Linked DNA regions of Mus musculus: region 1 is reported to be linked to region 2. Evidence: microRNA targets listed by miRTarBase, many of them from high-throughput screens and not tested one by one. Region 2 holds a microRNA gene; the other region holds the end of a gene's coding sequence.

Region 1 (4,197 bases), not on the chromosome of region 2:
GCATGGTCAGGCACTTAGTAGGTGCTCAGGTGATGCATGCTGAGTTGCCTTGTGTGGGCACAGGGACGTATGCCACTGTTCCACAGATAGAGAAATGGTGCGCATGCTGTATGCATGCCTTTGCTCTCTCTGCTAATTTAGAAGCAAGTCCTTATCATCATTACATGTAAAGTAGAACACACTGAGAGGAATGCCATGTGTGGAACACTGAATTAGTCACTGCCAGACTCTGCCCCACACAGCAAGCCAGTCTCCGATGCTAAAGAGATGATAAAACCCAATGATTAAAACATCCAGGTTTACATTTGAAATGTAAATAAAGAAAATATCCAATTTAAAACAAAAATCCAGGTTTTTTAGGCAGGGATGGAGAAGCTCTTTGTTCAGTGACAAAACTTTGTACTCTGACACAGTGGCTTTCAAAAGTATTCAGTCTACAGACGCTCATGTTTGAGTGCGGGGGTACTTGAAGAAAAGGTTTTAATAAATACACAAATGCTCGCCATGACACTGTTACGGGAAAGACCTTACAGTAGCCTAAGATTTCTTTAATGAGTTGCTGAACAACTGGTGAAGGGTATTCTGGGAAGTGATAGCTTAAGCAGACACTTAAAATGCAACAGAATGCGTATATCACCATGAAAAGATGACCACAACATACCAATTCAAGGGGGAGCTGTTTAAGGGTGGCAGGCTTACCCTCGAGGGGAAATAGTTACTGAAATATTGGTGACGGCAGCTTCCAGAAAGTTAGACGGGCTATTTATCTAACTCGACTTATTTCTACAGAACTTTGATCTCGTTTTTGAAAGGAAAAGAAACTATTTTTAAAATTTAGAAGTTAACAAATTCTGACTTTCAAGATCATTTTTATTTTGAAATGGTTAGCTGTAGCTCTGCTTTGCCCTGGTGACCAGAGTGCTGGTCACACCGCTGGTAGCTACTGAGCATCCCAAGGGAACACATGGGTGAGGACATAGGGACTAAAGAATAGTTCTCAATGAGTGTTCGCCTGATTCAGCTAATTCAGAGGCTCAACCTCCTTAGCTGCATTCACATGAGATGCTCAGTTACACAGGAACCTGATGGAATGCTATTTTCTCCTGGAGAATTCCTTTCTTACAAATCGGGAAGTTCTTCGTGACTGAAAGCTGGAGTCCTGCAGGGCTGACTAAATCCAGGAGGCTCTACACCCTGGTTTAAGGAAGCCCTGGGGTCTAAGACTTGCCTCAGATCCAGCATCAACACAAAGGCATGGTGGGATCCTTGGGACCACTTCTTTCTAAACCTCAGCTTTTTCATAAAATTGGAATCACTTTGGGTACCTTCAAGAAGGTACTTGTTGCTGAAATACCAGTACTTGGGAGGTTGAGGCAGGGGGATTGTGAACTCAAGGCCAGGGTGGTATACACAGAGAGTGGCTATCCCAAAAAGACCTCCCAAAAGATGTTCATTGTATACCGAAATGTATGGTATAGAGTGCTCAGTACATAGAGCTATGTGTTTTTATAGATCTTTTTGATTATGTATTTGGTAGAAATAGGGAGGGACTTGATACTAGCAGCAGAGAGGTTGTGAGTGCCACACACACATGCACACATACAGATTAAAGACTGCATGCTTCAGGAGCCCATCTCAGCTTCCCTTACAAACAATTGAGGACACTCTCCAATGCGAGGCAGGAGAATGATCTCCTAACAGGAGTGTGCTGGTGTCACAGCAGAGACGGTCTTATAAAAGCGTGTGAGTGCCTGTTCACACCTCTTTGGGACTTGAAACAGGTCCTTCTGCAGCTGCTCTCAAAGCCACCTACCCCTACCCCGCTTCTCGAAGCATCCTAAGATCCAGACAGCTGTGAGGAGAGGCATACGTTTGCTCCAGCCATTCTGTCGTTGTTAGGGTTCGAGTCTCCTTGTCAGTCTGTATTTGACTTTATGTTCTTCCTCATGAAGGAAAACATGAATCCTAAGTGCATTCAGCTTAAACCCTACATCTTAAATGTATTCAGAGAGGTATGGGTGAGCACGATGCCCATGTGTATTTTCCATATGCATTCCCTATACCAGGTAAAACTCAGCAGAGAATGTAAGGAGCTAGGGTCTGATGCTGACACAGGTGCTGCTCCACTGCAGGAACTCCGTGACTTACTTATAAAGTGGCCCTGAGTGAAGGTTCTTGCACCGTGTTCTTGGGAGCTCTATGCTTGCCTAAGTGATGCTGCGCTGCTTTGCTTGGCTCCTGGCCTCCATCCTTTTACAAGCGCTCCAGCAGTGTTTAAACAAATACCTTTCTCCTGTCAGCTCTCTTTAGATGCTCCTACTGGCTCATGGCACCTAAGCATGGCCATGAGCCAGTGTCTCTAGTCTAGAAAATACAAAGCCCACTGAAAAGTCACAGAGCAGTGTCCTGCTTGGTATCTAAGGGTGGTGGTGGTGGTGGTGGTGGTGGGGTTGGGGCCGCAGAAGGAAGAGAGTGGGTCATGACTCTGAGGTGTCCTCTGGACTGCTGTGGAATGCACAGCTGTGGACCCAGCTGCATCAACAGACTGTAGATACTCTGCTGGGCTGCAATCTCCCTCTGTGGGGACAGTAGGGAGCAGGGCAAAGGCGCCTGGACACGGAATCAGAAGATAAGGTGTGAGTCTCATCCCTGGGATGGGCTGCTCTGTCTCTCTGAACCACTGTTTCTCCAGCTGAAGCCATGAGTAGAACTGCCCTGTAGATCAGCTCAAAATCTATGCTGTTTGGTTTAAGTAAGGTGAGGTTTGAAAGCATTTTTTTTTTTTTTTTTTTCGAGACAGGGTTTCTCTGTGTAGCCCTGGCTGTCCTGGAACTCACTTTGTAGGCCAGGCTGGCCTCGAACTCAGAAATCCGCCTGCCTCTACCTCCCAAGTGCTGGGATTAAAGGCGTGCACCACCACTGCCCGGCTTGAAAGCACTTTATAAATGATAGATGTCTCCTAATAATATAAGTTAGGTGGTGTCCTATTTGGTACAAGTTGTAGTCAGCAGCTAGTGGGACAGCTGTGAGGCAGCCTCCCCTCGCTTTCTCAGAACATTTTTCCTAAGCTGTGGGTTGGGAGGGAGAGTTATAAAAAGGAGTTTGCTATGTTCGTATAACTTTTCAATATGAAGTGTTGATATACAAACCATTGTATCTCATACCAAACAATGAGCTAACATACTGAGTTATAAAGATCTAATTATAAAGAGGTTTATGCATGTAAAATCTGACTATAAATGACTTCAATAAATGCAACTAGATTATTTCCAAAAAAACTACTGTAGTGGCAACTGATCTTTAACATGTACACGAAAATACCACACTTGCGACTTGACACCCTGCCTGGTGCACGTGCTGGATTCCTGTGTCTCGGGGTGTGGTGGCTTGTGTCTGGTTGTGGACATGGACTGAGAAGCCAGAGGACTCTGCTGCTCCATTTCCCATGGAAACCCATCAGCTTTTCGGGTCTGTTAGCTCTCTGGGACAGTCCTCTTCACTCTCCTCTGCACAGGACAGGTTCAGGGCGCTCATCACGGGGTGGATCCAGGACGTGGTCTGTGTCACGTGGCTTGGGAAGAACAAGGGGTGCAGATTAGCATGTGAACAGCTCTCTTTCTACGTAACGGAACACGTATTGATTCTGGGGACTACCTGCTTCGACCCAGTTGTTGGCCCCTGGGACAGGAAGCAATTAGAACCAGATCCAGTAGTGTTAAGAAGGCTTGGAGAGGTTTTAGGGTCTTTTATAACCATGAATGAAGATGAACATATCACCTCAAACTCCTGTTTCCTCATCTGAAGGACACTGTCTGTGAGTATGTCTGTGGCTGTGTAGCTGTGTGCAACACCTCTGGAGTTTGTCTGCTGCCCTCCTTTCCAGTGTTCATTCCCCACTCCACTCCAAAGACCAGGCCAAACGACAAAGCATACACTGTCATTTACTTGAGAAATACTCGGCTCTACTCAATTCTGGGTCAAGAAAAATTCTACAGTATGATTCTGGAGGGCATTTCTCTTCCCTAGTGAGTCAGGGCACACTTACTCCAAAGAAGAAATTTCTCCATATGAGTCCTTCCATCTGAACCCATACGATCTCTAATTTAACTACTGCTTCCCTTATAATGTTACCCGGATGGGGAGAGCAGGAAGCAAGAAAACCAAGTTTTGCAAGTGATATTCTTGTTCTTGAAATAT
Region 2 (4,428 bases):
AGCTTTCTTCAATTTGCTCATTAACTATGATTTAGCCTTTTTTAAAAATCCTTTATCGATCAAGTACAATATTTGGTAACTAGGATTTGGTAAAAGGATATCCGCATTTCTTAAACTTTGAGAAACATTCTGAAATGATGTGATTAACCTTTTTCTTCTATAATTTCTACAATCCTCTTGCATTAAGAGGTGTAAAGCTGTTAAGAGACAATGATTCTAAGGCACCCTCAGCTTGTTCCCAGTTGTCAGCTTTGCAACGTAGTTAACTGCTGGTAAGAAATTACTGGCAGAGGTAAATAACATAACCAGGTTGACTACTAACCCCATATGAACATAAATTGGTAATTCCAACTAGCTTATTAGCTTTGCCCATGTGTCTGAAGTCCAGGCAAGCCCAGGCAACCCTGTCTCTGTCAATAGAACATTTAGAAATGAAAAGGACAAGGATTTAAAGTAGGAAACAAAAGTACTCTGTTATTGCTAGGATGGTTTTAAATGAAGCAAATGGTTGTAAATAATGAACAGAGCATTTATCTGGGGAACAGTATATGGCTTAAAATGCAATTTACTTTCAGTTTCACAAATAAACACAGTTGTATTGTTTTGAAAAGCAATAAAGGCATGCACCTCTACTAGCAGATGTAGTACTTCTGACCAAATGAGACATCAACTTCCTAAAAAATATGCTTCATGCACTGTACTCAATGTTTTTTAAAGATGTAAATTTTAATACATTATTTCTTTTTTGAACTTGAACGGGAACCAGAATGTGTTGATCCGGAGGACGACCTGTGGTGCCTGTAAGACATAAGAGAGCAGAACAATCTGTAAACAGCACTAGACCAGGTGTCTGTTCCTAAGACTGCAAACACCAGAGAAGAGCAGAGCACACACTAGGTACCTTGATGCTCCCAGGAGAACTTAAAACCTAAGATAGCTTATAAACTTTTTTGATATAAGCCCAGAATTGGTGTGATTTGAACTCAAAACTCTCTATAATTTAAGAATATAAACTCATTTCAAATATAGCCACCTCTCAATTATTCAAGGTAATGAAGGGAAAGCCTTGAAAAAAGCTCATAATCTCATATATGTACAAGAAAGGCAAAGAATCCTGGTAAGGTGTGACAAAATCAATGTATGCTGTACCACAGAGAACACACTGGGTCTCTATGGAACACAGCAAGGCTTCTGAGTGCACAGTGCATGAGAAAGTACATTCAAAGCAATGAAGTTTTGGAAGTCTAGATCACATAAGGTGATGTACAGTTAGTGCTTTTAGTGCTAGAGTCATGCAGCCAACATGAGTAAGTCAGTATCAACCTGGGAAAAGTGGTGGTGTTCCGTAGGGGTTGGCCCTGGGCTCAGGGTTGTTTAATGTTTTCACCAATCACCTGGCTTATAGAATAGAGAACATGTGCATTAAGTTTAGATGACAACAAACTGGGGGGGGGGGGGGGGAATTATATGTGGCTAAGATAAAAACTCGCAGAAGAAGTAGAATGGCAACATAATGAATTTATCTCAAGTACAGAGTAATTTTCATATGAAGAAACAATGCACAGAAGGAAGACTGGGTACGATCTTGAAATTCGAATGTGGAGGACATGTAATTCTGACCCTACCCTCTAAACCCAGCCGTCACCAGATCTAATGAGCCTTCTTTTCTTTCACAAGTTGAGAGAATATGGAAAATTTGCTAAGACTACAAGTGAAGCCACAAATCATTATTATGACATTGAAAGCCAAGAGACAATTAGTGAAATCAAGTAATCAAGTCTGTTGCAGAAAAGGCTGACACATGTCAAGTGCACTCTAGATACAGGGACCCAGAGAAGGTCCTTTTCAAAAGAGGAAAATGGATCTGGACTGCAAGATGAAAAAAGTATTAACTCCAAGGGCGTGTAAAGGGCATAAAAGCTACGTGCTACAGAAATGCACTTGTAAAACTTAAACACATTTAAAGGAGGACAGATCCCCATGATTTTGCAAGTTCATCCTGACTAGGTACCCTAGGATCCCTACCATCTCTAACATTTAGTCTTAAAAAACAAACACATGTAAACCATTTCAACATATAGCTTTTGGGTTTAGATCTTTAAAAACACAAAAATAACCGAGAGTTGGCTATAATATACGTGGAAATAAAATTTGAACAGTAAAATGATTAGAGAATATTCTGTCCTGTAATTTTTTTCTAATAAGCAAGATAAACAAAGTAATCTGAATTTTGAAGTTTAAAGATAAAAAATTTAAAGAACAAAGGAGAAAGAAATCTAACCCTTGCCTACAAAGTCCACCTATGAAATACACATAAGAACACCCATTCTTATTCTACAGAAACCCAAACCTTTCGGGTGACCGTGATCTCGTTCGTCTTTTTTTGCGAACAGCTGGTGAAGAAGGTCTAGAGCGACTCCTCTTCCTGTCTCTTTCAGGAGATGACGAAGAACTCGAATAAGATCTTTTTCTTGGGGAAGAAGAGCCCCTGTGGGACCTGGAGCTGGATCTTCATTGATTGAGAGACAAAGCAGACGTTTCATTAAAGGCAGAAGTGAAGACTGTCCAGTTCCCAAAAGCAAACAGGATTGTGACTATGAGGACTTTAGGAGGGAATACTTACTGCTTACTCAGAAGGCTTCTGGGTCAACCATCAACAAGTTCTATTTACACACAATCATTTCCTCTTTAAACCATTCTAAATAGTTACCCTTGGTAATTAAGAAGTAGTTTACTGAATTAAGACAGAATATTTTTATAATTGCTTATAGTGTTCCAATTTAAAGTATACAAACAGTGAAATCAATTCTGTGGTGACTTTATAGTCAGAAAATAGATCCTCCCATTTGTCAGGAAAATTCACTTTTTATAAAGCTTGCTGAAGACAATGAACTTAACTTCTTACAGGTGCTACAGACACCTGAGGGACATGGCCCAGAAAAAGAACACTGAAGCTGTGAAGTAGTCAATGAAAATGGCAACTCTACAATGTGATTTGTATGAGAACTGTGCTATGAAGTATGAAGTAGTAACATTTACATGTTTTAAGTGGAAGTAAATGTGTAATTTAAAGAGCAAATTTATCTCTATTTACATATTTTTAGTTGAAGGCATTTAGCTCAAACTTCCCAAAAAATTCACCTTAGGGCTTAAAATAAAATGAGAAAGCCCAAAAGGAGAATTCTTTGGAAAGTTGTAAGCAATTAAATGTTTGGGAAGGATATGAAGGCTGTCCTGTAAACCTCAGTCCTACAGTTCCCAGAGGGCCACACCAAGACTCCACAGTCTGAAGTGAGCACGGATAGTTAATGCAATAAGAAAGAAACCTTTGCTCTACTCAGCGCTGGTCAGCAGAGCACTGGTCAGTGCTCCATTACCCCTCTCTCTCCTCAGGGGGACTCAATGGCAGCTGCCTTCAAATGTTAGAATGGGCTCAAGTAAGTGAGTCTTTCTACAGAAGAGTTGTTAGGAAACGTCAATGTAAAAGCCACAAGTGAGATTTTAGAGGCTTTCGTATAAATGCTGTATGCCTGCAGGACACAACAATACAGTGACTGAACATGAAGGCAGCATAGTGAGCAAGTACAAAAAAGTTTTTCAAGGAACCAAAAGCCTAATGCTTCTATTGCCTTTTTTTTTTTTAACCAATCATTTTCCTTTGAAATACTCACAGCATGGCTTATATCAAACCATACTTAAGCCAACATCCTACATGACTTGGTTTTAAGAGGGGTGTTTGTTATACAGGTAATTTATAATATTCTTTAATGTCAGGGAGATGTAGTAAATACATAGAGCACTCACTAGAAACTGAGAAAAACCAGGCAAAGCTATTGTAAACATTTGCCTGAAATATAAAATGTTTCGAAGCTAGATGATGGAATGGTTGGTCTTCCTCTCAGAAATAACTTCTCACTTGTATGTCAAATTTAAATTAACTGTAAACATAAACTTAATATACCAGGTGGAGTAACTTGCCTTCACCTTCCTACATCACACGTATCTTAGCTATATGTGCAAGCCCCACCCCCTTTAATCAACCGTGGGAATGTGTGGCACGCTGTGCGGTGGGAACACTGTGTGGTGAGATTAAGCTGAGGTAGGTGCGTTAGATTCCCAGGGCTACAACAGAACGGACAAACAGAAGCAGGGCAATGAGAGAAGCAGCGGAGCCGTCTGAAGCCTGTGAGCACTCTCCTCTGCTCTACAGAGGCGCTACCTCATTCACCTTGATTTCGAACCACGGGATCTGGAATGTTCTCTGGAACCGGAGTGAGACCTGGACTGCGAACTGGAAGAGCTTCTTGAACGGGACCTGGAACAACACGGAAGCATTTTTTTCCCCTAGGACCACATTTTTGAGGTTTGTGATATGAACACTGAAAGAAAGACATATATTAAGAGTGCATTTTTCACATAAAAAGATGT

Evidence for each region. Region 2 holds the annotated microRNA mmu-miR-186-5p (CAAAGAAUUCUCCUUUUGGGCU, at 3,167-3,188, opposite strand). A microRNA usually pairs through its seed, bases 2 to 8, with sites in the 3' UTR of a target mRNA and lowers its output. Matches are read on the target gene's strand: a 7mer-m8 pairs with bases 2 to 8, a 7mer-A1 pairs with bases 2 to 7 and ends in A, and an 8mer does both.
Region 1: the mRNA of Stxbp4 is a reported target of mmu-miR-186-5p. Seed matches in the 3' UTR shown: 8mer at 985-992 and 7mer-A1 at 318-324.

What each region holds. Positions count from the first base shown.
Region 1 is chr11:90,477,144-90,481,340 of GRCm38, forward strand. It overlaps Stxbp4 (syntaxin binding protein 4), which reads right to left. Exons shown (of 18, transcript NM_011505.2): 18 at 1-3,571. The coding sequence ends at 3,457. Among named protein-coding and RNA genes, the nearest start is that of Gm34850, 6.4 kb to the left of the region's middle.
Region 2 is chr3:157,543,045-157,547,472 of GRCm38, reverse strand. Mir186 (microRNA 186) reads right to left here and starts at 3,194; the gene lies at 3,124-3,194. Zranb2 (zinc finger, RAN-binding domain containing 2) reads right to left here. Exons shown (of 10, transcript NM_017381.3): 8 at 4,229-4,315; 9 at 2,351-2,509; 10 at 1-798. The coding sequence ends at 735.